4 linked regions of the Drosophila melanogaster genome follow. Changing the gene in region 3 together with the main gene of any one other region gives a genetic interaction. Each region holds a gene or a part of one and is shown on either strand. Other genes may lie near its edges.

What was found.
Region 1: of Cul3 (region 3) and COX5A, changing one suppresses a phenotype caused by changing the other (phenotypic suppression), as found in Drosophila melanogaster (one study listed by BioGRID).
Region 2: of Cul3 (region 3) and hts, changing one suppresses a phenotype caused by changing the other (phenotypic suppression), as found in Drosophila melanogaster (one study listed by BioGRID).
Region 4: of Cul3 (region 3) and gcl, changing one suppresses a phenotype caused by changing the other (phenotypic suppression), as found in Drosophila melanogaster (one study listed by BioGRID).

The regions. Positions count from the first base shown.
Region 1 is NT_033777.3:11,816,600-11,822,428, reverse strand, and holds COX5A (cytochrome c oxidase subunit 5A), read right to left. Parts: upstream 3,071-5,829; 5' UTR 3,027-3,070; exon of another isoform or gene 3,009-3,026; intron 2,882-3,008; 5' UTR 2,785-2,881; exon of another isoform or gene 2,719-2,784; 5' UTR 2,718-2,718; coding exon 2,268-2,717; 3' UTR 2,130-2,267; downstream 1-2,129. Other genes in the region: Kyat (kynurenine aminotransferase), read left to right, coding at 610-1,149, 1,209-2,021; glo (glorund), read left to right, coding at 3,487-3,856, 4,292-4,423, 5,091-5,235, 5,672-5,817. UniProt on the Drosophila melanogaster protein: Component of the cytochrome c oxidase, the last enzyme in the mitochondrial electron transport chain which drives oxidative phosphorylation.
Region 2 is NT_033778.4:19,420,886-19,427,917, reverse strand, and holds the start of hts (hu li tai shao), read left to right. Parts: upstream 1-3,014; 5' UTR 3,015-3,095; intron 3,096-3,803; exon of another isoform or gene 3,804-4,120; 5' UTR 4,121-4,324; intron 4,325-7,032. Other genes in the region: CalpA (Calpain-A), read right to left, coding at 11-241, 300-540, 597-717, 780-904, 974-1,050, 1,112-1,288, 1,527-1,571, 1,700-1,873. UniProt on the Drosophila melanogaster protein: Required for assembling actin at ring canals in developing egg chambers. Probably interacts with other developmental proteins involved in nurse cell/oocyte transport through the ring canals. Important for normal neuromotor function.
Region 3 is NT_033779.5:15,263,825-15,272,842, forward strand, and holds Cul3 (cullin 3), read right to left. Parts: upstream 6,501-9,018; 5' UTR 6,093-6,500; coding exon 5,550-6,092; intron 5,381-5,549; coding exon 4,997-5,380; intron 4,934-4,996; coding exon 4,172-4,933; intron 4,110-4,171; coding exon 3,939-4,109; intron 3,877-3,938; coding exon 3,706-3,876; intron 3,644-3,705; coding exon 3,529-3,643; intron 3,464-3,528; coding exon 3,321-3,463; intron 3,196-3,320; coding exon 2,972-3,195; intron 2,911-2,971; coding exon 2,772-2,910; intron 2,703-2,771; coding exon 2,550-2,702; 3' UTR 2,205-2,549; downstream 1-2,204. Other genes in the region: yuri gagarin, read right to left, coding at 1-302.
Region 4 is NT_033778.4:8,720,140-8,729,674, reverse strand, and holds gcl (germ cell-less), read right to left. Parts: upstream 5,418-9,535; 5' UTR 5,211-5,417; intron 5,035-5,210; exon of another isoform or gene 4,990-5,034; intron 4,771-4,989; exon of another isoform or gene 4,610-4,770; intron 3,061-4,609; 5' UTR 3,038-3,060; coding exon 2,904-3,037; intron 2,846-2,903; coding exon 1,898-2,845; intron 1,828-1,897; coding exon 1,200-1,827; 3' UTR 676-1,199; downstream 1-675. Other genes in the region: CG30356 (uncharacterized protein), read left to right, coding at 210-659; CG30357 (uncharacterized protein), read left to right, coding at 8,167-9,522; CG14767 (uncharacterized protein), read left to right, coding at 6,245-6,418. UniProt on the Drosophila melanogaster protein: Required for the specification of pole cells and germ cell formation. Mothers with reduced glc function give rise to sterile adult progeny that lack germ cells.

The sequences.
Region 1 (5,829 bases), on a different chromosome or scaffold from region 3:
TAATTTGTAAGTTACAGCTTAATTGCCGAATTCTAAGATGTATTCAAAGTGGTTGTCAAATTAAAGAACCCTTTTATTTTGAGTATCTGGTTAATTGTCATTTTGTATTCAAGGTCAACTAGAAATGATCGTGGAATTAAAGCTCGTTTGGGTCGTTATCAATCTGTTTAAAATTGTGAAATCTGTAATTCGAACAGAAAGTTGATAATGATTTTTGTTTCCTGCAGCTAATTTTGGGTGAATTTCAGATCAAACATATTTATATGTTGCGGCATTAACTTTAGACGCTCTTGTTTATTTGCATATTTCAGTTTGCATGTGTGCGTGAGCGCTTTAAAACAAAATCGTGTCGCATATAGATATTCCGCTAGTCTAATCACAATTCAGTGCCATTATGCAACGTCACCGCGTAGTGCAGGCCTCCAGCATTTAACTCAACAATTGCATTTAAAAGTAAACCAGTGATATAGTTTATTGTTACATTTGAGATCAGACATCAGACCCGCAGAGACGACAGGCAAAGTGCGTGCTTATCGCGCAATAAACAATCCAGACACGCGGTGATAAGGCGAAAGGGAGCGATCATTCACTAAAGTCACCTTTTTACAGATGCTACGCAGCTGTCAGTTAACCCTCTCCGCCGCTAAGAGGAGCCTTCGCGAGCAGTTCCAGTTGCAAGCCCTTCGTCACCAGCAGACTGCCATTAAAATGGAGAAATTCGATCTGCCCAAGCGATTGCAGGGTAGCACGCCCAGCGTCTGGAACGAGTACATTGCCCTGGCCATGCAATATAAGCCCCTGAACTTGGGACAGGGATTTCCCGATGATGCCGCTCCCGAGTACGTGACCCACTCGTTGGCCGACATTGCCAAGGAGCAGAATCCTCTTCTGCATCAGTACACTCGCGGTTACGGTCACGTTCGCCTGGTCAATGCGCTATCCAAGCTCTATAGCGGTCTCGTCGGCAAGGAGCTAAATCCCCTCAGCGACATACTGATTACCTCAGGCGCCTATGAGGCTCTCTACTCCACCATCATGGGCCATGTGGACGTGGGCGACGAGGTGATCATTATTGAACCATTCTTTGATTGCTACGAGCCTATGGTCAAGATGGCCGGTGGAGTGCCCCGCTTTGTTCCCCTAAAATTGGTAAGAACCACAATAGAAAAAAAAAATATATCCCTCTTTTTAACATGTCTAACTTCTAGCGCAAGACAGAGGGACCAATAAGCTCTGCCGATTGGGTGCTAGATGACGCTGAGTTCGAGAGTCTGTTCAACTCTAAAACAAAGATGATTATCCTAAACACGCCCCACAACCCTATTGGAAAGGTCTTCAACCGGAAAGAGCTAGAGAGGATAGCCGAGCTCTGCCGCAAGTGGAATGTGCTGTGCGTCTCGGACGAGGTGTATGAGTGGTTGGTGTTCGACGGAGCCGAGCACATCCGTATCTGCACGCTGCCGGGCATGTGGGATCGCACCATTACTCTGGGATCAGCGGGCAAGACCTTCTCAGTAACTGGTTGGAAAATAGGCTGGGCCTACGGACCCGCTGAACTGATTCGAAACCTGCAGATGGTGCATCAGAACTCTGTGTACACCTGTCCAACGCCGCTCCAGGAGGGCGTCGCACGCAGTTTCGAGGTAGAACTGGCCCGTTTGGGTCAGCCGGAGAGCTACTTCCTTAGCCTGCCGCGCGAGCTGAAGCAGAAGCGTGACTTCATGGCCAAGTTCCTGTCCGAATCCGGTATGCGTCCCACCATTCCTGAGGGTGGCTACTTTATGCTGGCAGACTGGTCACCACTGGCGGGCAAGATTGATCTAAGCTCTGAGCCAGACAAGCATCGGGATTACAAGTTTACCAAGTGGATGACCAAGAACATGGGCTTGCAGGGCATACCGCCAAGTGCCTTCTACAGCGAACCCAACAAACATCTGGGGGAGGACTTTGTGCGCTACTGCTTCATCAAGAAGCAAGAGAACCTGGATAAGGCGGCCGAACTGCTGTCCAAATGGAAATAGTCGCCGGACAATAAACGAATTGCTATCAGCCGCTTTGTTTATCTCTGCCCGAATGCAGTTCCCTAACCTGGGTGTTACGTAACCAACAGGGAAAACAACCTTGTGCTGGTGTGGTAGCCTTACTGCAATCTCCATTTATTAGCAATCCAACAACATGTTCATCCGCACCATACATTGGATAGTAGGTAGCTAGTGTCGCTGTAACGTGTATATTGTGTTCTGTGTTTTTAAACTAGTGTTCTCCGCTTAGGCATCGTACACGGACTTCAGGGCCAATTCGGGCTTGTCGTAGCCCAGTTCCTCGATGGTTGGGATGCCCAGCTCCTGCAGTGTGGGGGTGATCTTCTCCAGCAAGTAGGGATAGAGGGTGGCCTTTTGGTCGCCGCACTTGTCCTTGCATCCCTCCAGCCACCTGATGGCCAGTGCAATGTCGTTGACGCGACGGCTGGCACGCAGACCGGCCTCGATGATCTTGGGGCTGGGCACCAGATCCATGCCCAGCAGATCGTTCATGCCCTTGCGGATCTCCCAGCCATCGATGCCCTCACGGCTGAAGTACTTCTCGTAGCGCTTGTCGAACTCCTCCGCCGATTCCTCGGTTCCGTGCAGACAGCGCACGGCGGCCACGCGCGACGATGTGCCGACGAGGCTGCTGCGGAGGGCGCTTGCCAGGTTACGGGCCGTGATGCTCAACATGCTGCCGTTAAAAACAGTAAAATGCTTGTTAATTGCAAAAATTTGGTTAAGTAACAGCTCGACTCACTTTTCTTGTTCTTGCTACTTTTCACACGGGTATGACAGATCTGAGTGATGGTTGGCAACACTGGCTTTTCCAGGGATGGACACGTTTATAACTGTCGCTGTCACGGAACAGTGAGATATTTAAAATGTTTCTGCTTCAGTATATTTCAAATTCGGGTAAGATCACAGTTAGTTTATCATTTTCCTTATATTTAATTTCTTCTATCTTGCCCAAAAAAAGCAAAAAAAAAATCAAAATCAAACCTTGTTTCTTTTTCAACGGTCCACATTGATGCTGGCTACTGCCAGGCGGTATTTTTTGATGATTTAATTGCGGTCACACTGCATCTTCAACTTGACGCGTGCTATTTGATTAATCTCTCTGAAAAATAAGTCAAATTAACCGATAAAGTTTAAAAAAAGGCGATATTGGAAGTTGAAACAGAGCAGAATACGGTTAGTTCTCTGTTCCGCCACCAGGTGTGACATTTAGAAGCGTTTATATTGTGTACGAGACTTGCAAAATGTCATAAGCAATTAGGGGTGACAAGAAATCAAAATGGCGTACGCGGTGCAAAAAAGAATCGCACCAAACAAGCGTCGCTGCTGAGTGGAGAATCACTAGCTCAAAAAATCGCATTTTCAGCCAGTAAAAAACAATTAAAACTAGTTAACCAGTGACTAATCGTTGTAACACCATTTGCAGGTAGAGATCTGGTGAAAAATGTCCAACGCAGACGTGCAATTTAACTACGGCCAGCAGGGAAATGGCGACAACTTCAACGACGACAGCAACCAGCAGCAGGATGAGGATGACCAGTACAACGAAGATGGCGGCGGCAAGATCGAAAACGTCGGCGAGAGCCCCAAATTCGTTCGGTTGCGCGGCCTGCCCTGGTCCGCAACGCACAAGGAGATACTCGACTTTCTGGAAAACGTGAATGTGACTAATGGCTCGGCGGGCATTCACCTGGTCACCAGTCGGGTCGACGGCAAGAACACCGGCGAGGCGTACGTGGAGGTGGCCAGCCAGGAGGACGTCGAAGAGGCTCGCAAGCTGAACAAGGCCAGCATGGGTCACCGCTACATTGAAGGTTTGTTTATTTGCCACTTGAGTGGGGGATGACTGTACCTGATGACTATCTTGGCAGTTATAGTTAGTTTCTTCTCACTTTGTTTATATGTTTATCCTTTTAACAAGCTTGAACTTGTTCTGATTCCATACATGGAATCGAAGATGATTTATTTCTTCATTGTTTTGCTACTTATACTGGTAGCGCTTATTTTCTTTTCATTCATTGTGGAATTTTACCTAATATTAAGGAGGTTTTACAAATATGTCACTGTATTGTTACTCTTATCCTTGCTTCTATCGAGGTAAACTAAAATTTAGTAAAGTAAATTTCACACCACCATTTATAATCTGTATTCATGTTAATTCTTATCTTAATAACAAACACAAAATGGTGCAGAAAACTTGTTTGTTTTTTTTCCGTTTTAACTGATGTAATTGGTTTTTATTTCTTTAGTTTTTACCGCCACGCCCAAGGAGGCCAAGGAAGCCATGCGGAAGATCAGCGGACACGGCACGGCCTTCGTTGTGAAGCTTCGTGGTCTGCCATATGCCGTCACTGAGCAGCAAATCGAGGAGTTCTTCTCTGGTAAGTTTCCTGACCCAAATCCTCTTTCCATACTAATATGTACCAGGTACCAGGAAAAAAGACAGTGGTTGACCGCATGTATTATTTGTTCACATCGTTGAGATATGGCCTACGGTCCCCTTTCATCTACACCTTTCATATATCAATTACACATGCGTTTCAACGTACATACATATTGTCGGGCAAAGAAATGCAGGCCCTTGCATTTGTGTAATGGGTTCGGCGGTTCACGCGGCTCCTTCCAAAGTCAACGGCTGAGAGTTGACGCGGTCACGTCCGCTTGTCCGATAAATCATTCCTTCGTTGGTCACATAACCCAGTTTACTTGGTTATATGGTCGATCATTACTCACAACCTTCAACTGAGCTACACATGTCTACGAGTTACAGGATCTGAGTTTTGTAATACATTGTGGTCCGGGAAACTCGATTGCAACAGTCGCATCTTGCCTGGTGATCATAGTTTGACTAAAAGGCACTGTTTATTTATGCAAACGTTGCTAATACCGTGAGAACCTGCAAAAGTTCTGCGGTGTTGGAACTAAACAATAACATTTATCAACCTCTGTATTTCTGTTTTTCTATCTAAGCTTAACCTTGCATAATGTATATATATATATGAAATCTATATATTTGTATAAATCTTTGTTGGTTATCGTCATGGGCAGGGTTGGATATCAAAACGGATCGGGAGGGCATACTTTTTGTTATGGACAGAAGGGGTCGTGCAACTGGGGAAGCTTTTGTTCAGTTCGAAAGCCAGGACGACACTGAGCAAGCCTTGGGCCGAAATCGGGAAAAAATTGGGCACAGGTGGGTTTCTAATTCATCATATCTTCTACAACAAAAACAGCGAAATTAAAACATTAAGTGGTAATCGATTGCGAACTTGTTGAAACACACAAGGACTATACAATTATTCACAAAATATTTAATAACTTTTATCACAAATAATTTCTATTTCAGTAACTGAGAAATCATTTAGCAAAAAATTTTCCCATAGCTACGGGTCTGGTGGGGCTCTCTAAATACATATATATGTTTAAGCGCGATCATGTGCTTTATCTAACAAATTAATTAAACTGTGAACAGCATTTTTATTTATTTTATTTGATCATTTCAATGAATTTATTTTGATTTCATTTTTTTACGTGATATTTAATAGTTGATCATGGAAAAAAGCCACCGACCCTAGCAATTTCAAGTACCACTTTTAAAATACATATATTTTCCACTTTTATTCACATAGGTATATTGAGATATTCCGCAGCTCGATTGCTGAAATGAAGAGGGCCACAGGCGCCGGTGGCGGTGTCGGAGGACGCCCTGGCCCTTATGACATACGTGATCGTGGTGCCAACCGTGGTGGCAATGATTTCGGCGGAGGGCGCAATGGTATGTTCAGAT
Region 2 (7,032 bases), on a different chromosome or scaffold from region 3:
ATAGTCCTACCTCCACGCGATCGAAGTGGTTAAGAAAATCTTGGAAGGACATCCAGAACTCTCCGTCTCTGTCGAATGTTAGTCCAATCTCCGCCTTCTGTTCCTCGGGTATATAGCGCCATTCTGGTGAGCTATCACTCCATGGTCCATTCCACTCGGCTTCATTGCCCCAAGGATTTCGCATTCTTATCATAGGGATCTTTCCCTGACGATTTGGCGTTACTATGTCAATAAGGCAAACCTGTTGACATAAGATTAATTAATAAAATGTTCTTATCATAGCAATTTTCCGAACAAACCTTGGTTATGGAGTAAGCGTGACCACGGATTAAGCCCTGAGGAGTTTCTGCCTCCGTGACATTTGGATCAGGCTCAATCGAGCATCCCATCATGGAATTGCGTTCAGCTGCTTTTTGCAGAATGGTGAATAGATTGCCGGGTGCTTCTTTTAAATCGTACCACTCGGATACGCCGCCAGTAAAGTCCTCCATGGCCTCGCAAGTGCTGCCTCCCTTTAGTGCCTCGTAGGATCCATGAAGTCTAGAAAGCATATATACATCAGTTGACCATAAAGTATGTGAATAATGTAGTCCTACTTGGCATAAGCCTTCTCCAGCAGGGCGCTCCAGAACTCGTTCTTCTCCGTGGAGTGCATGTACATCAGCTCTCCATTATAAGTGGGCAAACGGTCATCAATGATTACATCAACCCATTTACCTTAAAATTTTAAACTAAAATTGTAAGAAGCGCATGAATAATTTTTTTAATAAATAATTTACCATACTGCCAAAAGCGGAAATGGAAGATACCAGCATAGTTCTCCTCGAAACTCTGTTCCGCTGGAATTACCCGAAAGAAAAGGTTGGATTCCTGAGTTAAATTGGCTGTGGCAGCCAAGAGCCAACTGTAAATGTAAGCATTTATTTAAAACTATTAATTATTCTGGCTGCGGAAATAGAGATTTTGTTCTTACCAGTCACCAAGCTCGCCTTGCTGAACATCAAAACGCGAATAACCCTCCACAAAAAACTGGGGATTCTCGGCAATTTCCTTTATAATTAAAGCATTTATACCTTTAGTTACGGGTAATATGGTAGTATCTAAAACTTACATGAGGTCTCAGCCATTCGATGTGACGATCTGGACGCCGGGAAAACTGAAGAGACTCGTTCGAAGCCGGAAAAAGTGGATCTTCGAAAAGGGAACCACTGGCCAGGCAGCTGTTCAATATTGTCTCATAGTCCTGCACCTCGGAATAGGGTCCCAGGCTCGAGCTCTTCTCTCCCAGCTAAAAAATACATGCTATTAGTGATATGAATCTAACAAAATTGATGAACTTGATTAAGAGTATTATGTATGTACACGATAAAGTTGTGTAATGGAGTTGTATAAACGATGATGCGTTTTACACTTTACATGCGAAAGAAAAAGAACACAAGGACAACACAGTACGACACTTTGGCAGCGCATTATCCTTGGAATGGAATTATGTCAATGCCATTACGATGACGGGAGTAGGTACTTACGTTCCCATAGTACAACGTACTATTACTTTGAGATTGCAATGGTTGCTAATGAGTGGAATGTATATGTATTTGTTAACATGCATATGTAGATTTCAATGGATTGTTTTCTATGTTTGTTTAGTATAGTATAGCGCCCTATAAATAACTGTTGATAACCGTGTGGGTCAACTTACAACTCTCATATTCTTGATGCTGGGCAGAACCCTCTTGGTGTCGGCCTCCTTCTTGATGAAGATCTCGTTGATCACCGATCCGACCACATCCTTGGCCGCTCCCATTGCAGCCTCACCAGCTGCATTGAGGAACTCCTGTCCCGCTTGCCTCAAGAATCCCCTCAAGTCGTCCATCGTGCAGATATCTGAAAATATATGTACATATATAGTTTAATATCAGTTAGCAGTGTAAGGTGCCGCCTCAGATTAAAAACCCATTAATAAATATTTATTGTTCAAACATTTGATGACTAGTTAGCAACATCCAATATTTTTTATATCGCCCATATTTACTTATAAGCCTCGCGGTGGAATTAAAAGCACACCCAGAGACATAAATATGGTTTAACGAGCATTACAGAATCGTTAGTATTCCCAGTGTGACTGGAAGTCGGGCTAAATGAAATTACTTTAATTCACGCAAACTGAAATTATACTTTGGAGACAAGAATGTCTCGGTTCGCACCCAAATATAATTCAAATGTTTCTACATATACAATGCTGTATTTATACATATGTAGCCGCTATATATATATGCTATATTGTGTGACATCATTCGGAAGCATGAGATTCTCTAGTGACTCAAAGGGTGTGCGCCATTCGGGAGATTAAGCTTCGTTTTTTATCCATATTAAGCCGGGATATTGACATTGACCCATGGAACTACTACATATGTACGACACATATAGGGTATATATTTCTGTGACAATAGTAAATTGGCCTTTAATTGGGGCGAAATATGCTAGATTGGCTGACCCATCTGTTATTGTATTTGCGAACATTGGTAATTCTACGGCGAAACCCAAACAGGTTTGGTAATTAATGCATTCTTCTGGCCTGGCTCATTCCCGTGACCACCATATTTTCGTAAAGAATAGTATATTCGTCATAGGCACTTGATATTTCTAATACTATATATATTTGCCCATTTTCCAACGGACCTTGATTGGTCGAGAGAACGATTTCCGAATCGAATCACGCACTTTCACTCCCCAAAATCACAGCACAACAATAAAGTAACGGAACCACGCACCTTCACCGCACGGAGATATTTACTCACTACAAATATTTATATCTGTAGCTCAACACCTGACTGCTATCGAATGTTTTGGTATTTATTTTTATCGAAGTATTTTGCCGAAATTTGTGATTTGCCAGCCCTATTTCAATGTAAATATATCGATAATCGCCCGATTTTACTGAAAAATATTTCGATAAGAGCATCGATATTTCAAACAAATATCGACCCATTGACATGCGTCAGGTTTGTCCATCCCTAACAAAATCGTAGTACGAAATATCGAAAACGAAACACATCACGCGGGCGAAATTTCGTGAAGTTCAGCATTTACAAATTGTAAGCAGTGGTTTTATCGAACCCATTGACCAATTAGTGGGCTTCTAAAATTAGTGATAGACTTTATTAAATGAAACGAGAAAATAGAGGCGAATACACCCGTACAGCAAATTGACCATCGATTTTTTCACGGCATTGCCGGTGACGAGAATGCGACGCCGTTCATACACACACACGCACGGACACGAATGTGTGTATATGGCGCGGCGCTTGTGTGTGAAAGTGTATTCGTATAAATAATATGACATAATCGACGTGTGCGGCTTAATTGACATAGTTTTTGTGCGAAGAATACCTAAAAGTGCGAAGAGAGCGCCAAAAAAGGCGTTTTTTGTTTGTGGTCAAGGTGGCAAAAAGGACTTGCACCGCTATTTTCCCCTGCGCTTTGCTCCAAATATTCGTTCCTCCCCATACACTCTCTCGCACACACACAAGCGTGTATATTTGGGCGTTGCAGGATGAAGAACTCTCTTTCTCTCTCCCACTTTCCTTCGCTCTCTTCTCGTATTCTCTTGAACACTTTTGCGCAATTTGAGTGATTTGCAAGGCAAACTAATGCTTTTCGATTGTTTACCGAATTTAGTTAACCCCGTTTGGAAGCCAGTTTGTCTGGAAGTTACTTCAGTTTAGTTGTTTTCAACATCTCCACTTGACGTTGCCTAACACTGCCCGCCCTCTCTCTCTCGGCTTCTTTGCCACTGTCCGTGCGCAGTTCTCTTTTGCGCTTCATTCGTGCTCTGCCCGTCGGACGTGTCCGTACGATTTTGGATTAAGTTCTCGTAGGCAATTCAACTTGAAATATTTATTCGCTGCGGTGCAACTAAAATTTAATTCAAAGAATTAAAAGTGCTAAGTGCTGTTAGGAGCGGCAATTTTGCAAAAAAAAAAATATTAACAGTTATTTGGTGTAGTGCAAGAAGCCCAAAAGAGAACAAAATTATTTATTTTAAACATATTGCATTCAAGGCAATAAAAAGTTAAATCTATTAAAATTTTCTACCCTCTCCCTCCCCTTTTATTGATAGTCTCCCTCTGTGGCGTATGTGTGTTTGTACGAATTAGCGGCTGAAAACCAAAAACCGAGGTGCGAGAGCGAGAATACATTTATAAAAAACGCGTGCGTTTCTCCTCTAACACATACAGTGAGTGTGACCGTTGTATTTGTGACCTGTGCCTGTGTTAGCGGCCACTGGAGGATCAACGAATTTAAAAGAATACTAAAAGTACCGGTGAGTATTCTTGCATCTACCGGATGATGTGTTATAATCCCGTTAAATAGTGAATGTCCCCTCGTGCCCTGCATTCGTTTTAACCGTTATGACGATGAGCGGCAATTCGGCCGGTGACGCCATCTTTTGTGCTTCTCTAATAAGTGTTGTTTTTGTTTTTTGGGTTTGGTCAAGCTCACGCAACACGGCGTGTGTGAGTGAGTAGTGTGTCTATTTTGTTGTTATGCTTCATAGACAGTGGCGAAACTACAGATTATTATTCAGGGGTCATAAATGTCATTTAAGATCAAGAACATATTATATTTAAATTTATCCGGAAATATGAGCAAATGTTTAAGGTGTAGCACCACATTGACCCCCATTCAGACGCCACTGTTTGAGCTTCTAGTTCTAGCCACTTTTCTTCTCTCTTTCTCTTTTTTCGGGTGGGTGTGATTGTGTGTGCGTGTGCTTTTCCTTTCCATATGATTCATGCTTCTTTCTACCTCCGGCTTTCTATGCGCTTGTCAGATTAAAAAAAAAACCCATTTTCCAATTCTCGTCGCTGATTTTATTCATCTTTTATTTGGCAATTTGTTGCGAATGCCACTTGCAAATCTCTAGCCGTGTGCCTAATGCACTTGGGCAATAAATCCGCCTGCTGGCGCGCATCTGTGGGCAAGTTTCATGACCCACTTTTCCTCCTTGGTCTCTCGCCTTTCAGCAAAGTAAATAGTGAAAAGCAGCAACAAGTGATAAACAGATTTGTAAATATTGAAAACTTGTTTATGCCATTTGTCAGTGCAACCCAATGCCTACAAAATAGACTTTATAGGTATCGGAGGTAGTTCTTGATACTCAGTCAGTTCGATTTTTAAATTTTTTGTTGTCATTCAGAGCCCATCTTGATATTTCTGTAATTTATTGTAATCTTGAACGAATAGGAATTGATAACCTTTTACTTTAATTATTCTTTAACCCAATTCAATGCGCTATGCTTAAATGAAACATTACGCTTATAGAATTTAATATAATTTAAATTAGCAATGTTTCCTATAAAACTTTGTTTTATATATAGCCTTCTATAGATGTTCTTATGCAAGTCATAGGAGTTCGATTGTGTGTGTGCTCTCCCGCAATCTTATCAGAACCTTCGCGCTGGTTACGTTTTCTTGTTAGATTGCTGTTTCTATACAAGTACCTACATATCCACATTACAACAAGCCAACAACATTCCCAATTTAAGTTATAAGGAATTTCTCCTTTGCCACCAACTAACTACCTACCTATTTACAACATTCTTCGATTTCTATTACCTTACTTCCTGTTCTATATACTCATCATATCAAATTCGAGCATTCCATTTGCCTTAGCTACATATTTTGCGATACATGACGTCATTTCGCACACATTGCTTATAAAAAAGGTAAAAAAATAAAATAAAAATTTGCTCTTTTTGTTTGCTGGCTTTTGTTGCTAATTCGAATTTACTCATAGAAATACATGGGCAGTGGGCTTTATTTATTCATTGCTTATGCTGCCTCCCCCTTTATCACCCCTTATCAAGCTTTTCACTTGTTCCTCTTGCTCTGTTGTCCGTTTTCAATTCGCAAATTAGACGTGACTCGTTGGTTGAGGGTTTCAATTGAGGTTTTTTGCACACCGCAAGTTGCATTTAGAGAATTTTCGAAAATCGTTGAGGCATTATTTGTATTGAATTCCATTTGCACTACGAATACTGAAAAGGTGAAGCAGACTCAGTGTAAAAAGACAACAAAAATAATACAAAAACGATTGCTTCCGCTAAAAAAAAGTGACACATAAAAGTATCTACACAGAAAAAAAAACGAAATATGATATAACCTAAACAACATAAAGTAAAGTACGAAATCTTTACGGATTGGAAAATTCTGAATGTTTTCGTAGTCAACGGGTCAACCAAAATAAAATTGACTGCCTCTTTTTTTCTTTGTGTGCGTTTCATTCTCACGGGAGGAAGTGCATAGTTAAAACTGTAAACAATTGTTGAGGAAACTAAACAACAAAAAATGTTTTGGAATGGAAATGAGACGGAAATTCGAAATTGTGAGCCCCCGAAACCATAACAAATAAAACAAATAAGAAAAACGATAAGAAATGCACTTCAAGTATACGAAAAGACTAACTTTCTAACCTTTATTGAGGCGTGTCCGTCAATGCAAATGCATTTGATGGGGCCAACCAGTCCTAATGACTTTTGATTTGGGAACTGAAAATTGTTTACTCAAGCGTGTGCTTATCAAAATTCCCACTGACGTCACATCACTTGTGATTAATTGATTTGAAAATGGTTAGGATTAAGCTGAATAATTTTGATTAATGTGGCTGCAGTGGAGCTCCTCTGCGAGTCTGGCAACTCTGGCTAAGACGAAAAACAAATTTGTCCAAGAGCGAATGCTCAAAATTTATGGCTCCCTAAAAACTGAAAAATAAATTCTACTCTGTTTCTGCCCCAAAGCCAATTGACGTGAAGATGCAACAGAGTGAGACGGGAAAATGAAGGGGAGATAGCCAGCCTGAAAACCCTCACACATAAATAAATAAAAGAGGCGTACGTGCCAAGCTTCAAAACAGAGACACATAAGCAAGATTAAAAAAAAGAGAGATGTTGCTGCTGGCTAAACAACTGCAGCTCATCAATAAAACAGCAAGAACAACAATAAACCAGGCAATGAAACCCAGCTAAAGAG
Region 3 (9,018 bases):
AATATGCTGTTCAGCTCAAAGCTCATATCGCCAGCATCGCCGTTGGTATCCCGCAGCTTCTGGATCAGACAGCGGTAATGTTCGGTGGACATCGCCTCGGTGCTGGCAGTGCACCGATCAGGAGATGAGGCTTTTAGCGTCGATTCTTGATGTGGATGCGAGGCACTCGTTCCGGTTGGCTGCACTTGCCGACACATTTGACTGGCAGATGATGGTGGTGGCGGTGGCGATGATGCAGGTCTCGACGGATTCAGACCCATGGACTTGGCGTCTAGGACGAAACCGGCTTGGCGACTGGCCATGATATCAATTCAAAATGTAATTACCACGTTCTTCTTACTAAGAGCTGATTTAGTCGGCCAGGGAATAGCTTGTGTAATTAGACATGAGTATGACTTTAAGGTTTCTACATCGAAACGTTCACTTCGAAAGCGGCAATCTCAAGGCACTGCTGATCGGAAAGATCGAATGCAGTTCTCCTCGCCTTCAACTGCACGCAAATCGCAAATCACAAATCACTCACGAAAGTACAAAAATCACAACAAAAAACACTTGTAAAGTTGTAAGCTTATTAAAAACAACACAAAAATGGGCGGAAAAAAAAATAAAAAATAGAGAAAATATATCTGATTCGAACCTTGGCGGCGACGTCAAGAGCAGCTCAGCGCGCTGCGTTCATATCTTTTGTTTGCAGTCTTCTGACGTAGCAATGTAGTTTTGTTTATTTATATTTTTCTTGTTTTTGAGCTACACACACGCGTATTAAGTATACGGTTTCAGCATGTTGTTGTTTTTATTTCTTGCCACGATCCAAATACCGCGCGTTTCGTCTGCGCTCCGTTCGCGATCGCCAACGAAACCGAACTGAGCGCTCCGCTCCACACACTCGCTCCCCACCACCACCGGCCAAGAGCGGCTCTCTAGAGAGTTGAAAAACTCGACGGACTCTCAGCGCTTATCAGTGCGTCGGGGAATCGAATTGGATCGCTGCGTGTGTTTACCCAAGAACTTAGCATTCTGAATTTCTGGCCGGGCTCACGATATACATATGTATGTATGTATCTTACACAATATGCGAAAGTCATCGCTGTTTGCCCAAGTTGCGGTTTCGGGGTTCTGCCAATTTCGTATAATTGTTAACTCATCCGGTGTATATTTGCCCATGGATAAGTTTGTTTGGTCGCATTGATAACTCCGATATGGTCGTTCAACGCGGTTACACAATAGCTGGAAAAAAGCTGCAAAAACCATGAATTTTAAAGATTAAGAACTAAAAAATTTCGAATGATTCAGAGAATGATTATGCCAATCCTTAAGTCTTATTGCCCATCCCAAATTTTACACGATTAGCACAATATGTTGGGCACCAATTGAAAACAGTAGATTTTTTGCAGATTTAAATTGTTACCAAGTTCGTTTTATTGTACAGGCGAATAAAAGCATTTCATTGAAAATATTTTAAAATCCTTTTAAAAGATAGACAACAACTGTGTTAACGCTCATTATACGTTTTATTTATATCGATTTCTCTTTTATGTAAGAACAAAATTTATTTACAGTGTTTAGATCGCGTTTGCTTGCTTCCGTTTTCGTGCTTTCGGTTCGGCGTTAAATTGTTTTTCAAAATCAATTCTATGTGTGTCCTACTTAACTCAAATCCATTACAGAAGTGTTGCCTACATATGCCTGGAATCGATTCCCACATATCAACTAATAGATAAAACAACTTTTTCGTACAGATTATCATAATCACTTCACGTTGCTTTGGGCGTACACAAAAAATGAAGATAGAGGAATATGAATAGTCATTGCAATCCTTACGTTCTGTTCACACGCATCTCAAAACGTGGGATGAATGTTTTTATTTGGATTGAAACAGACGACGTATAAATGTACATCAAACGCTCTCTAAAATTCATAATTCATTTATAAATTTATTACTTTAGCTATATTTATAGTTATTAATATTTTCTTGCTTATATTTCTGTTGTTGCTTCTTTACCTTTTTACTCAGCTGCTTACAATTAGGGGCTGCATTATGCATTATTTCTCTTATCTTGCTTTGCGTACGATTCTTGTGGGTGGATGTGGTGTGTGTGGTTGTGGCTCTGAATGGGGTGGTGGTGGAGCAGGTGTGTATGTGGTTGTTTGGGCTTACTGCTATACACTTGTTATGCGCAAAGAAATGACCATAAACAGTAATTAGAGAATATCAAGAAATATATTAGAGGGATAATAATTATGGTGGTGCCTTATCCAATAGCATTTTTAACTGTTGAATTTTGAATGTCAGGCTTACAAAATGGGTTGCGAAACGAAATTTTACGATTCGGGGCGCACTAATTGATATATTTATGTATTCGGGTTATTGGCTGGCGGTCATCTATAATCGTGGTCAGTATCCGCCATATCAATGCCGCTCGTATGCTCAGGCCATTCCGTCCGAGCTGCAGATTGTGTTTTTCAGTTAGTGTGCAAGCCCTGGCGATTTGAAGATGAGTGTGTTCCGGATCCTGCTTAAGACGCTCCTGCTACTTTTTGTGGGCCGCTTAGGCCAAGTAGTTGTACACTTTGCGATCTTCCGGCGATCGTTGCAGATACTCGCGCTCGATTAGGCCCTCAATGCGCTTTTTGATAAACACGGGCGAGGGCAAGAAACGCGACTTTAGCTGCGACGTCACATCTGATACTAGCAAGTTGTGCTAAGAAAATAAAAACAGGAATCATGGTTAAATCACAATCCAACCAGATAGCAAACGTATAATACTTACAGCCAGACGCTTGCGGGCCTTCATTATGCGCACAATAGCCGCTTCGATCTCGTGCTTACGATCCTCGTCGACCTTTCCGCGCGTTTCCTTACGCTCTGGCTCTGATTCTCCCTTGGCGGCTACCGTTTGTATCTTCACCCTAAAATAGTTTCGATATTATTACCAGGCGCCGTTCTTTCGCACTGAAAGTAATATCTAACCTGTGGAACTTGGAGTTGAAGGCGTCGTTTACGTAAAACTCATCCGTGGGCTCAATGTCCTTAGTTTTCGTTTTAGAATTGCGTACTAACAAACGCTGAGCGGGTTTGCCCATGGACAACGATTGTAGTGCTCGGACGAGCTCCCGTTCCGGTATATCGGTCTCCTGGTGTATGTCATCGTAGGTGAGCACGTCGCGGTTATTAAACAGCAGTAGCACACACATCTAATTTTGGATTATGAAATACATGTTAAATGTTTAGTTAAATATTTTTTTCAGATCAATGAAATAAAGCTGCTTCTGCTAAATAAAATTCGGAGGTGTACGAACTAAAAGATATTTTAGCTTACCTGGTACGTGGACACTTGCAATATGTGCTTGCGTGTGGTGGTGGGCACCCCACAGCCGCTTGAACTGGAGCTGGGTGCATCTTTATCCTTTTCACTTTCAACTGCCTTGCGGCCATAAAACACAGCGTTGATATAGGCGGTTCCTATTCGAAGGGGAAGGCATAAATACAGTAGTTGCTTAAAAAAGAAGATCATTTAAGTAGCTAACCCATTTGTGGCTGTAACGTCAATTGACGTCCTGAGTGCTTATTTAGATAGAAGTTCTTGAAAATGTCAAAGGCTTCACGCGGAGCGGCGGGTATATTGCAGTTCGGAGTTGCTGTCTGTTACGGAAATTGAAGATAAGTTAACCTATTCACATAATTATGGAACAATTTAAGCTTACCTGTGTGGGCCAAAAACCAGTGGTTAGTATGCGTACCGTTAGCTCCACACCGCCAAGGGATAAATTGTTATTATTTACAAAGTTCTTAAACTCATCCATGATCGTATTGGAGACTGACATATCTTTAAACATGCCCTCTAGCTTCGAGGTGAATTGACAGCCGCATTCAGTCTGCAATAATAGAGATTAAAGCGATAAATAATTATGCTAAGATACCAAGTAACTTGACCTACCTTTAGTTTTGATATCATATTCTTCTCGAAATCATCAGAGACTGATTTGTTCAGCAGCAATCTCTTGGCTAAATGCGTCTTGTAATAGCGCTCAAAGACATCTTTCTCCAATAGGAAACGGAAGAGAACCATTGTCTTATCCAAGATGGACTCAATTTCCTGTTCGCTCATCTGTGGAAAAGTAATACACATTATTAATACATTTCAGAAAGCATATTGTAAATTCAACTCACTCCCTTGCCACCCTTTTTCAGTTTGTCATCGATGAATAGCGATAGATACTCCGGGGATTTGTTATTTAGGTTCAAGAAATGTTCAAAATCGGATGAGATGACGTTTTTGAATATGCGATCGTTGGCGAACGAGTGCACCAGAAACTGGTCGAAGCGGTCCTTGAGATCCAGCAAGTTCTGCACGAATGTTATGGGATTCGTGTTGCCGTTTTCTTCTTCCTTAACCAGCATGCGTCCTTGCTCTCGCAGATATGCCGACATTGTGTCCGCTATCACCTTGAGACCCTCCTCCTTCAGGCGCGAGAAAAGCTTATATGTGCAGGCCAGATCCTCGGTCTTTGAGTTCTTGATCATGTACACCACGCCCGAGTTCTCCATTTCAACAATGGGTCGCATGTGCTTTTTGATCAGCTCTTCTTCGACCACGCGCACAATGCGGGGCTCCGTATCCTTATCGAGATACAGCGCTGCCCGGGAAGATTCCTCCGTGATGCGCGCTTCCACTTTCTTGATGTAAACGCCAGCGTTGTTCTCGGCAAGAAAGTTCTGCGACTCGAATTTGTAAAACGCCGCCGATTGCGCAAGGAAGGGCTTTTCAAAGTCCTCTTCGTAGACAGTGCGCGAGTTAATCCCCAGGGTGATCAGCATACTGCAAGCATTCTTGATAGCCAGATGGTTAATGGCTTCGCCATGACGTTCCTCCATCACCATGCCCAGCAACTTCTCTCGCAGGGCCTTTTGAATCTCAGAATAGCGAACCACCTGGTAATGGAAAAAGCGATAAATATATTTCCAACGGAATAAATGCAATAAAGATATTCCTACCTGATCCCTGAACAAAATTAATCCCAAATTGTACACATTGTCTACCTCGCGCTGCTGCACATAAACTCTATCCATGTACATGAGTATGTCGCGGATCATCACCATAGATGTCTGGTGGTCTGTCCAGGCCTGGTTTAACTTGGGTAGGAAATTGCTGTGCAGAGCCTCCAGCACATCCGCCCGCACCTTGTGCTCCAGGTGTTCTGAGACGACCTCCCTCAGACCGTAATACAGTCTATTGCCGTGCTTATGCAGCACCATGTTGTACGCATTCCGGTAGAGTTGTTCAAACGATAGTCCGGAGTTGTTCTTTTTCTGTATCTCCTGGATAGCATTCTTTAAGCTGGCCCAAATGGTCTCCACGTACTTCTCGTCCATGGAGGCCTGGAAGAGAAATATAAGATTATTAATTTGGATAGTCAAGAACTTATTTCTCAGGGATTAAAACTTATAAATGCATAAGAGTGTAAGAGGGATATTAAGACTTTCGCTTGTTAGTAAGTTAACTAAAAGTTGAAATCCCTGTTTGGTTTTTATCAGATGGTAGGCTAACATTGAATGCCCTTCGCTTGTACTCCGGTAGCCAGAGTGGGTACTTCCGTGCTATTTCCTTAAAGCGTTTTTCTGTACTTTCTGCGCTCGCTGAAGCTGAGGTTGATGGCCCAGAGGTGGTTGCACTAGTTTCAGTTTTAACGACAGCTGGAGCAGCAGGAGCTGGAACTGGCATGGAAAGTGGCGTCGGCGTGAGCGGGTGGTTAGTATTAATTCTGTTATCAGCCCGAACTCTGCCACCGCTGGCGGCAAGGTGATAACTCCGCCGCGAGGCAGAAGCTAATCCCTGAGCGGACAATCGATTTTGGGACTGCTGGTGTTGCTGCATTGAGGAGGCGTTGGGCACATTGATGTTCATGCTTCGCGCCTGCTGTCCAAGAACGTTTTGCCTTGCAATCCGGCAAGGCACGGCAGAGTCCACATTACCGACAGTTGCGCCATTGAAGTTGTTGGAGCCGGCCACCATGCGATTGTGGTAGCGGCCGTTGGCGTTGAGGTTGTTCAGTGGCTCCGGCTGCTGTTGGCGGGGATCGCGGCCTTGCATGAGATTGCTACGCTGGTCCAGCTCACACGTCCTGTCCCGGTAGTGGCTCCTCTCTTCCTCGCTGAGTGCCAGAGAGCGAGGGGCTGGATAATAGCCCGCTGCTGAAGCCGGTGCCTGGCGAGACCGACTTTGGTTTAACGACTTAATGATGATAGCTTCAATGTCACATCCGCCGCGCGGTTCTGCTACACCTGGTCCGCTGCTCCTCCTCCTCCTCTGTGCTCCGTACTCCGGCCAGAGTTCTACTCGCGATTCGGGTCTCGCCCTTCACCCTGCTCTCCACATACAGGTGTTCACAGTCTTTTTGTGTGTGTTGTTGGTCAACAATAATTTCTCGAAAACTACGATTGAATTCGTTGTAACTTAAAAACTAAAATGTGTGTTGAAAATTCCCCTGGCCCCGGTTGGTGTTTTGATGTTTTTATTTGTTTTTGATTTTTGGTGTTTGCTTTTCATGTCGCCTGACATTTTGTGGGGAGAAATGTTTGGTGTCGCCTAACCGGTGAATTTGCTAATTGTTTTATAAAAATTATCTAACTCTTAATACCCGCAAATGGCATTATCTTATCGAAACATTTTGCAAGTTCATGATGCGATCGACAGATTTTTCGCTGCAACTCTCATCTCAACTGCAAAGCGAGTAAGGGGCTTTTCAAATGAGTATATCTCGTTTTTTAAATTCGTTTGCAAATTGCACTCAACCTTTTCAAACGCTTAATCTTAAAAATTTGAAGATCATTGTTTTTTGAACCAAAGAAATGGCATAATCTGGGATTATACAACTTGCTGTGGACAGCAAGCTCTTTCTTCATAGTGATTTCTTGGATTTGAGCTTAAAATGAAAATGTTTTTACAGTTTGTGGTTTAAACTTGTATTAGTTCCGGGTTGTCAGATAATAGATAATCTCATATTAGTTCGCTCTTAGCAATATTACACGATTAAGAGTGTGTATCGTGGTTTTAACGATGCTCCAATGTGGGTTCTTACCGGAAAGGCCCGAATGCGCATTTTGCCCTCCTTCTTGGGAGGATTTCCCCGCAGATTCATGCTTTGCAAGCGTCGGCACTGCTCCTCCACTTTATTGGCGGTTCGGACTCCGGAGCAGGGAGCTGCAAGAAGAGCAGGTGCTTCTCCGACTTTTCCGATGACGGAACCTGCTTTCCTCGGCGGCAATCAATGGTTAACACAACAAGAACACAGTTAACCTGGGTTATCCTTGGTTTATCCTGAAAGATAAGGAGAGGTGAATGGATTAGTTCTATCACAGATCTCCCAGCATGTTTACGCTACAATCCGCGTAGGGTGGTGCCGAGATGAGCATTCTGGTTTCGTATATTTGTGCAAACATTCCACGCAAATGTTAGGGTGTCAAGCGCGATGTACACAAGCAGACGTGTGTACGTACATATGTATATATATGCCCGTGTGTGTATGTCTATTTGGGGAAGCGGCTGGTTTTATTCGCGAATAGTTTGCAATTGCGGATATGTCCCGGGATACCAATCCGCCGTACTGCGTCGTCACTTCCTTTGTCGCCGCCTATATCGCAGATATCGGATATATGTGCATGTACATTGATTCGCTGGCCCATCCGATCTCTCCGCGTAAAAGAAACGGTGAAAAAAACTCACACGGCGACAATATAATTGTTATGTACATATACGTGCAATTAATACAAGAACCGTTGTTTTCGCACGCACTTCCAACCGATGATCGATAAATATACGTCCCAGGGAAGTGCATTCAATTGCTAGACGTTATCGAGCCAATGCTTCTATTTTCACTTTGTTGCTTTCTTTATTTTCTTAACGATTCTTCTATTTCACTTTGTCATGGAAAAGACGGGTTACATATGTGTGTGCGTGTGGGTGCCTGCCCGTCTCACGGTCTACGCTTGTGTGCGTATGTTTTTGTACCTGGCCTTTTGAAACGGCTTTCCACGTCGCTTTCGCACAATTTTTACTATTTCAAAATGTATTTTACCGGTGCGAATGCATTAGTAAAGTCACTACTATTATTTAGCTTGATTTGTTGCTGTTTTCAACGTTTACTTGCATTTCATATTGATTGTAGGTTTTAATAGCGATGGGCGACAAAAGTAGCATTGTTGTTGTTTTTCGAGGCGAATGGTGATAGCTATCGATAGTACTTTTCCATCGATAGTGTCAAAACCAGTTGCTCTCAACTTTATGATAAATAAAACCAGTAAAGTTAACAGGAAAGGAACTGACTTTGCATCGCACGCAACTTAAGAAAATATGTAGTTACTTTTTATTTTATTTGTTAAAGGAATATAAATATTAAATATAAAAATTAAAAGGAAAGTAACTGACTTCTTAGTACGCTTGCATCACAAGCAGAACCAGAAGAATTATTGTCACTAATTATTGATTTCTTTATTTATATAAATTAATTTTTATTTGGTAAAGATTTTATGTTCATAAATTTTGAATTTTTAAAGTACATAACATTTCCAAATATATATTTAAATTGTCTTATGTATATAATATTTTATCATAATTTATATAACATTTTTTTCCCATGTCTAGCTAACAGTGTTGCAAAATTCGTGTTGCTCTCTGTGAATGGTAGTATTTCAAAACGAAAGCCCTAAAAGTATGCTATATTTTTAAGTACGCACTGGACTTCAAATTTCAGTTAGTCCATTTCAAAAGTTTGTAATACAGATAAAAATAGTTAACTATAACTATGTAGGTGACAAAAACACAAATGATTTTGAAATAGTAGTGCTTTTTGAGATTTCAGAATAATTCTTGGAATATGAACGCACAATTTTATCGATAAACGCATGTTAAAAAGTTTAGGAGTTTTATAAAATAAGCCGTTTAATATCTACCTTACATCGTATCTGGGAAATTCCCGCTCTGACTGCGAGAGTGAAAGCTTTGCTGAAGAACTAATTAC
Region 4 (9,535 bases), on a different chromosome or scaffold from region 3:
CATGTATATCTATAGCTGAGAAAGCGAATTTGTTTGGTGTCTGTATGGAACTAGGTAAATCTTATTAAATTTTTTGTTGTTAATTGCAAACAATTCAATTGTTAAACGACCCCGAATATGTACTTTGATTTAATTGTTAGACAAATACATATATGTATACATATATATTTTAGACTCGTGTATTCAGATGATTTCAAATTTCTCCCAAAATGGGACGTGCTGTAAAAAATAATAGAGTAAGGTCGGCCCATTGCAACAGTGCCGCCAAGGCGACGTCAATCAGTGGACATTCGATGCTAAAGCAAAACAACGATTGCAATGGACGCAACCCGTTCTTTCAGTTTCTGGCCTACTTTCGAAAATGTTCCAACAACTGCCTTGGCCACTTGCCGTCGGATCGGGTAACTCTAATTGCCGGCAAGGTGTGGAATTACATGAGTCTGTCGGAGAAAGAACCCTTTATCGCTGCTGCGCGAAGATTTAACTACACGTATCGATCGCGGAGCAGAAAAGTCAACTGGGTCCTGGCGCAACTGCGAAAATCCGCTGCTGGGGAAGAATGCCGACCACAGGCACAGTGGATGTTGATGAACTTTTTAAAGTCTTGGCAGGAATCTGTGGTGAGGAACCTTCTCGACCTGGATCACAATCAAAACTAAATCAGAGCAGATTTTTATTAAGTGTAATCTTTAATAAATGATCACTCAAGGTAATAGTTACTGTGCGTACATTTAGCGAGTAAAAATGTGTTAGGGACAGTAATTACATGCGTTGAACTTGCAGGATTCGAAGACGCTTAAACCATAATTTCTTTGCCGCGTTTTTTCTTGTTACTTAAACATAACAATTAATCTTTAAATTCCAAATTTACAAACTATTTGCAACGCCTACATATTGTGCGAGGGCACTAGAGTGTGCGTCTACTCCATTTAAGTAGATGACGTAAAGCGTCATTACATGATACTAGTGATGTAAACGATATACAAAAATATAGATCTGCGCATTCCAAAACGATTGCGGATATGCTTATACTCGATGTACAAACGTCTAGATGGAGTGATCAGCCGTAGCTAATCGCGATGGCGATAAACGAATTTACAAAACAACTACAACGAGCCCGAACTGCTGCGGGTAAATGAACAAAAAAATGGTGGTAGTGGTGGTACTGGTATTGGTTTGGTGGACTGCTCAGCACGTGCTCAGCACGCCAGTTGTCCGCAGATTGCGCCCGTTTCGCTAGCCGACCAAGCGATTCTGGGCCGTGGGGCTGGCGAGGATGGCGTCGAAGGCTCAGAGTCACCAATGAAAACGGCCGAATCATCAGCACTGGACGGGGACAGCGGTCTGTCGCTGTTTGCTCCGATTTCCGAAATGGGTATGGAGAGAGAGGTTGTCGCCTCCTCGCTGAGCGGAACAATTTCCTTGAAACTCTGATTCGGTGGCATTACCACCAGCATGTTTATTGAAATGAGAAGTGGATGCACCAACTTTGGGTCTAACACCATGAGTGGCACCTCCTCGTTCTTTTCGAGGCTAAGAGAACAGATCTCGGACGTTTGGGTGAAGACTGCCTGGCGCTGGGCGTTTATCGAGGTCACCGTGGTGCGGACCATGAACTTGCGTTTCGTCTGCAGGCTAAGCACTCGCTCGTGCTCGTGCCGGTGGTGCCGACGAATGTTCAGTCTACGCGAGTCCATGATCAGGATGAGATCCATGCCAAAGTTGAAGCCCGTCCAGCGCCACTTCTGGTAGCCAGGCTCAAGCAACATACGTCCGCATCGCATGCAGTTCTCAAAGAACTGCTCATCGTCCAGCTGCTGAGGACTACTGTGAATGCAGAATAAAAGGATTTTAGTTTTTAATGATATAATTCCAGGAGAGGCTTCAGAAGACTTACCAATCCTCCTGCCCATGATCGATACGTAGTAATGCATCCCAGTGGTTGTGAATGTGCCGATACAGCCACTCCTTGGGTATAATATTGTCATTGTATATGATTTTTAGATCCATGTAGTGGTTGGTCAGGTACTGGGTTCGTAGCTTCTGAAAGACCTTCACATAAGGCTGCCCCTCGGGCGTGGCCAAGAACGAGCGTTCCTCCGAGCGGCTGGTAAAGTATGTCCACTGGACGACATCACCACTAGGCGCATGCGTTTCCACGCCGGCATTAACCAAAAGCTCCTGCGTCTTTAGCGCCTCCGCCCGCTGGACCGGGTCCTCTGGATCGTAGTCGGGATGCAGTCGTAGGAACATCCATGTGCGCAGTAGAGTGTACAGCGAGAACTCCGTCTGCATCACATACAAATCGGGACTGGCGGTCAGGGCACTCATCAGCTCAATGGAGATGTGCCTAAGCAGGTTCGGTTGCTTACTATAAATGCTTAGCAGATTGATCTGGAACCACTGAAAGGTGGACTTCTTGACTCCGACCACACCGTACTGGCAGGCGGCCTCGTAATACTGGATAGCTGTCTCCGGACTAATGTTATCCACCATCACCTCGGCACACTTGTCGATGATTCCGTCTAAGTGGAACAACGTGGCTGTGGCCAATACCGAGATAACATCTGCTGACTCGATTTCGATCTCATCGGAATACATGGAACCAAAGACAGCATCCAGGCTAGCAACGGTGATCCGGTCGTCCAGGATTGTGATCTGAATGAAATTCTGCTGGGCTTCCCGCCACGTCCCATTGAACATAGTATAGAAGTATGGACTCTGGCTCAGGTACACCTTATGCAGGTGCCAGACCTTATCCAGAGCCATGACAGCCACATCCGAGTTCTTTTCCTCCTTGAAGAGCGCCTTGTATATGTACTGGGTGGTAGTAAGAAGTTTTTTTCTGCGGAAATTAAGCAGGTAAATTAAATTACCTTAAATTAATTAAGGTAACCACTTACTTTTTGGGCTGAGTGGTGTCTAACTGGGCCGGATCATCCTTCCCCAAAGATGAATCAGTGCTGCGCTTCCGCTTCCGTCGATTGCTGAACACCTCAGCGACGTTCATATGCATGGATCCCACTATTTGACCCATGGCTGAGCGCAGGAATTCTTACTCTGAAACAGCATATATACAATTTTTTTTTTAGATTTCCCTACATGAATAGAGTTTACAATAAAAATGCGGTCTGTTATCGATCTGACAGATTGCGTGTTGATGGTGCCCTCAATGGAACCAGTTGACCCAGTTTCATTCCGCCAAACTGTAACGCCAGCCGCTGTTAAGGCGGGGAAACCTTTCCCGGGTGGGCGAACATTAGTGTGGGCGACTTTACAGGCCCTAAAACCAAGTGGAAAGCGCATCCATTCATAAACAATGGTGATGTCATAAGATATCTGAGCAGCGATGCTCGGAAAACTTAAAGTCATTTGTAGATTGCAAGTAACTGAACTGATATCTAGCTTAGTCTTTTTGATTAGGTACGCAATAAGCCCAAGACTAATTATTAGATTTTACAAGTCATGTATCTTAGTATTTTAGTTTTTAAAGGTGTGTATAAAGGCAACATTTATTTTATTAAGGTCGACAAAATGCAATTCAATTTGTAGAGTCTATTAAGATTGTGTGCATGGAATACATAATGTAGTAAGAAACAGAGAAGCATCCGTTCAAAGCGATTTTAACGACCTGAACCGCACTGTAGCGCAAACATATTTGGGTAATTTTAAAGGGGCGGGACTCTATAATTAGAATGAGATCAAACGAGCTCGATTCCATGCGCGTATATGTTGTGTTTATGCTTTGCCGCCAAATGCTGGAACTGGACGAGCTGATGTAACCATGTCAAGGCCGCGTTGGAAGCTACTGCTACTACACGTATATATGTGTATTTGCTGCCCATAAACAATCAAACGGACGCTTTCGTCACCTCATTGGATCTCATTGATATGGGCGACCGGACAGTCTCGGACTATGGATATCTATTCGGACGCAGACTAAGCATAAAATAATGATGATGATGATTTTGCCGTGGTGGAGAAAGGTTTGTTTTGGTGTGGCGCAGTTCCGAAAACAAGAGTAGTGTTCCAAACCGGTTCCCAAAGCGTGTATTTCTTATAAGACCAAAACAAGACGATTGCAGCGCTTTAAATTACGTCACCACTTGAAGCCAGAGAGCAGAGAGAATTGAAGATTGAGAGGGAAACAAACAAAAGGGGGATGACCAAGACCACCAAACAAAGCCGGACCTCCAAGTATAACCCGAGTTTCCAAAAGTCGTAGTTTAGAAATTAAAGGAAGGTTTAGGGTAAACATACATGTTATTATAGTCAACTATTTTTAATTTTTTTGAAACATTTGCAGTGCCTGAAGCTTTTGTTTCGATGGTGGTAAGATAAAGTGCATTTCCAAACGATTTTAAAACATGTTTAAAATAAACTTAATAACAAGTTTTCACGCTTGACAGATTTTATCTACTGCACCTTGGGGGATAAGGTTTGCTTTCGAAATGTATCATCCGGAAGTTTAAGTTTATAAAAACGTAAGCATATGATCTTCTCTTTGAAGACCCACTCCAAACATTTTTAAAGGAGGATTGTTCCACTTTTGAGATAAACTAAACACATGTAAGATACTCTTTTTTTTACACATGTAAGTTAGGGAAATGACAAAAAAAATTAATGTAGCCCAAGGAGTTAACGGCTAAATAACGTGGGTGATCGTCGGAAGAAGCCAACAAGCATGGGCGGAGACTCGAACTCGAACTCGCGCACTGATTTCGTAGGGAATTCCAGTTGCCTTAGACGACTGAGCCACCGCGGCTGGAAAATTTGGGACGTCCGAAATCGGAGAAAGGTGTTTGAAGCAGGTTAATATATGTGGTTAACCTACAGATAAGGCTACAAGCAGCACTCTTTTATTTATGGATGCAAAATCAGCTGATTGACAGCTTAAAACGCTTATTTACGATGGCCTGTTGTTTGGCCCTGATAACACGCGATTAGCGATATGGAAAACGGACCACCAGACCATCAACTTTTTCTCACTTTATATCCCCATGTTCCTGGCTGCGAAGTGCAGTTAATCCGCAGCTATAAATAGCAAACAAAAGTGAATTCGGTGGGTGACGTAGTTGGGAATAACAGAGAAGGGGTGGGATGGATACGTACTAAAGAGATAGAGAGAGAGCGACAGAGAGCGCGCTAACGAACGACGCAAAACTGAAGGAAACAAGGTACACAAAGGGGAACTGATAAACGAAACTTACTGTAAAACTGCAGTTACAGTGCCGTACTTTTATATAACAGCAATTGCACCCCACGTTCACTGGCTTCGTTTCAATAAATAAAATAAACACGGGCTAAAATTCTACGCGAGTCTGATTAGGCATGCGGTTTAAGCCATTTCAATTCCGTTCGCTGTCAATTTTATCTCTGTTTTGCTGCAGTTGGCTCTCCAAATCTTTTAGTTATGGTCACCCTACGATAGCAAAGCATGTATTTTGATTGCATCGCTGCTATCGATGTTTGCGGATTGGCGCTTTAGCGTTCGCACCGGTCACACTTACCGTACTTTTTAAAATTAATATTTACTTTACGATGCGGAAGCACAAACCTATCTTGAGTTGCTCCTTTCGAAGTAAATTTTAAAAATAATATTAACTTCAATAATAGTAATAAAAACATATCAATTTACATTTGGGGACACAAAATACATAAACTATGAATATTTAGAAATAAATGAGCTTACATCTCTTCGTTTTGTTGTTTATTTATATGACATCTAATTCAAAAATTATTGTATAATATCATGATATTTGCGAATAATGACTCGTATAAACGTTACCGTTCTGCAAAACGCATAATGTCAGTGTGACCGTGTTGCGCGGCATTTTACCACTTTCAGAGATTAGTGCTCACGGGTTTTCGTGCTGCGCAGCAGTTAAATAAAATTGAATACATCAAGAGCTGCAGATATAAATCGGAGTTGAAAACCAGTGCAAGTTGCATTGGCCCACAAATCAAAGGTACGCCTTATAAAGGAGAGTGAATCAATTGCCGAATTAGTAGTGCAAAAGGTCAAAGCATCAGTCGTGAAAAAGTGGCACACATAAATACAAATGCATACATACATACTCGTAGATGCAACACACACCTACACCTAAACACACATACACACACAAACACACATCCGTGGGAGGAATAAAACACCCACAATTGCTGATTATTTTCTGCACTCGTTATCGTTATCGCTTTCGTTTTCGCATTCATTTTCCACAGCCGCAGTTTCGTGGGGCGTGCAATGTTTAGGATCCACCTCAAGATGGGTCCCCAACGCAACCAGCTCCACAGCAACAACAACAATGGTGCCGCCGGAAGTAGCAGCAGCACCGGAAACCGTCACCTGAAGGAGTTCACCTGCTGCTTCGGCCTGCATGTCCACACGGCCACTTTGATGATCGGATTGTGGCACCTGGTAAGTGCATCAAGGGGGGTATCCTTTAATCCATACATGCGTGTGTGTATATCGAGATACACCCACGCATGCAGTCCTGCGGCATTTGCGAAAAACCTTTGACCCTGCTCAGTGTCACGCAAGGGAAAAATCAATCAGCCAATGACTGCAAAACTTTGCGAAGACGAAGACGAGCCAACTCTGCACTTTCCCCGCCTGTGACGTCAATTGGTGGCTGATTGGCCGCTGCTGCGTCATCTGATCAAATTTAACTACAGTATAATTCGCTTAGCTGCCTCGAGTACTTTGCACAATGCCTCGATGCAGGTAACTTAAAAATGCAGCTAACTTAATTTTTTTTTTTCTATTTTCTATTTTCTATTCACACAAAAAAATGGAAAAATAATGCAGATATCTTGCCGATGCAGCTAACTATCGATGCAGCTAAGCGAATTATACTGTACTATCATCGGGGCTTTTTGGCACAACAACTTATTTCTGCCATCGGTTCCACTGCGGAAGTTTCCACATCCCATGTCCATTGTCCGAAACTAACCTTTCACAAGATCTGACTTCGCATTAGCAATCGCTACACTTGGAGAAATGTAAAGCATTGTCGAATTTTCAAAAGTTTCATAAGAAATTAGTTTTATTGGCTAAAAAAAGGGATATAAATGTGCAAAGTGCAGTATTTTCAGTCTTGTTATCAATGTTTTTGGAAACCCAGAAACCTTTGATGTCTCTTCTGAAAATGAAAGAGAATGCTCTGCCCTTAAGAGAGCGCGAATCTGCGGCCAATAAAAGATTTGAGTCGTTGAGCAAAAACCCTTGCTTAATAGTATTTGTCTCACTACGCTATTCGTGTATATTTTACACTGTTCCGCTACTTTCTTTATGCTTTGATCAGGTCACGTTTTCCAGTAGAAAACTCCGTCACATGGGTTGATTATGGTGTGGACAGCAGTGGAGTTATCTTTTCTAATCTGTCCAATCTCAAGGGTTTCTTTGTTTACATTTTGTAGATATGTATGGCGTTAGAGGCTTTAAAAACAAAGCAATTCCGCAAATCGAAGGTTGCTTGTTGTTTGGTTGACTCATCCCCAGAGTGACAATTGTTGATATACTGCGGCGCACTGCAGATTAAATTTCATGATGAATTTCTGATGAATAATTTAACTAAAGATGGCAAGTTGCCGCATCTCGGGTCGTTGCAAGGCCTTCAACCTGAGATACTTAGATACTGAATCGGATATCCAACGGCAGCCATCTGAGCAAACAGCAACCAGAAACATGAGCGTTCAAGTTATTTTTAATAACTACACGTACTCGACAAGTGATGCGAAAATATTTACTCTTGTGGTGGCTTACTCTTGCTTTTCGGTAAGAAAGATATATTCTTCTGGAACAACATTCTGAAGCGTGCTGTCATAAATCTGAGAATTGTTAATTCAGCTGTCATCTATCAGCACACAGGCTGCAAATCAAATCAGGCGAAGCTTTCTTATCTTCTTTTTTGCCAGCTTATCTTCATGAGCGGACCCATGCACCTGCTAACGCACTCGAAATACTTTTAAATGTTGAGCTATCATTAAAGTCCCCCCTCGTGATCCTTGGGAATCTTTGCTTAGTTTGTGACGTTTACAACTTATTCACATTTTTATAAATATTGTTCTGCTCACACAAAAGTCTACATTCCCCACTACTTCCAATGAAATTCCATCCGGAGGAAGCTGTCCAACTGGTGAAGGCATTTGCGAGATTCGAATGCAATGCCCCACACAGACGACACATTTCCGGAAGGCAGTTCTTGTTGTCCTATTGACATTGTTTCCTCAAATAAAGTCATCCTGCGCGGCTATGCTTCTAAGGCGAATAAGGATGTCGAAGCGGTGGAGGAGCTAGAAGAGATACAGGAGATGAATGATGAGCTAAGGGATTTGTTCATCAATACAACTGCCATCAATTGCTCGTCCCTTTCTGAACTAAAAATCCAGACTGACGCTTTCAACACCCTTAAAGAGCGTACACTATTCTCATTGGGATACTCGACAGCCGGGCTTTTAAAGAAATCAAAAATCAGTAAGGTTCTAAAAGGGAAGGTCAATTTGTACCAACAGATTGTGAGCCTTGTAAAGCAACGTACAAAGACCAATTCAGAGATCACCATAGGAAAGACAAGTCATCCCGTGCACCTGATGGTCTTACAGAGCTTTTCGCGAATGTTTCGCGATATGGGCAATGACCTGAGCGTGGCCCTGCCCGAAAAGATGATTACGCCACGCTCCTTTGGCCTAATCTACGAATGGATGATCGAGGACACGCCAGTCTTGCCGCGACTCGGTCTCCTAGAGGTTTTCCACGCTGCCAAATTTATGGAGATTCCACAGTTGGTCAGGCAGTGCAAGTATTGCCTCGATCATGGATTCACTGAGGACTCCGCTGCGATGCTGTACTTTGAGGCGAAAATACTGAAACTTGAGGTTATCCATTTGCAATATCTTGAGCGCGTCTCAAAGTTTTTTCTCACGCTGGTGGCATCGAAAGAGTTTTTGAGACTGCCGCTGAAATCAATGCTATTGCTCATCCAATCGGATCTGATAGGCGTGAATACGGAGCTGGAGGTCTTCATGGCAGCCGCTCGGTGGCTAAGCCACCACTGGCCTCAAAGAGAGGAAAACGTAACGGATGTTGTATCCAGCATACGTTTTGGACTAATCCCGCCGTGGTTGCTCATCCGTTTACAGAAACCGGATGTCACATCTGTGGGGGTGGGGAGAATCGTAGCGCAGCCAATTGTGCGCCAAGCCATTCATGAAGGCATCGCGTACACGACCACGCGGATGTTTTATGGAAAAGATCGGGAGGCTTTTAAGCACTATTTGCATAAGGCTTGCGTAAAGCCACCCGTGCAACGCACTTGGATATACGACCGGAAATGTCCGTATCATCATCGAATGCAATGCAGGAACACGGTGGACTTAACCTACGACGCGTTCCTTGAATATCTTAATTACACGCAACGCCAGCACCGGGATTATTGGAAATCTCTGGAACCAGTAGATGCTAGCAATGTTTGCTTCAGTTGCCAGGCAAAGAAGTCTGATTTAACTAAGCCCAACAGTTGAGTCTCCACGTTGG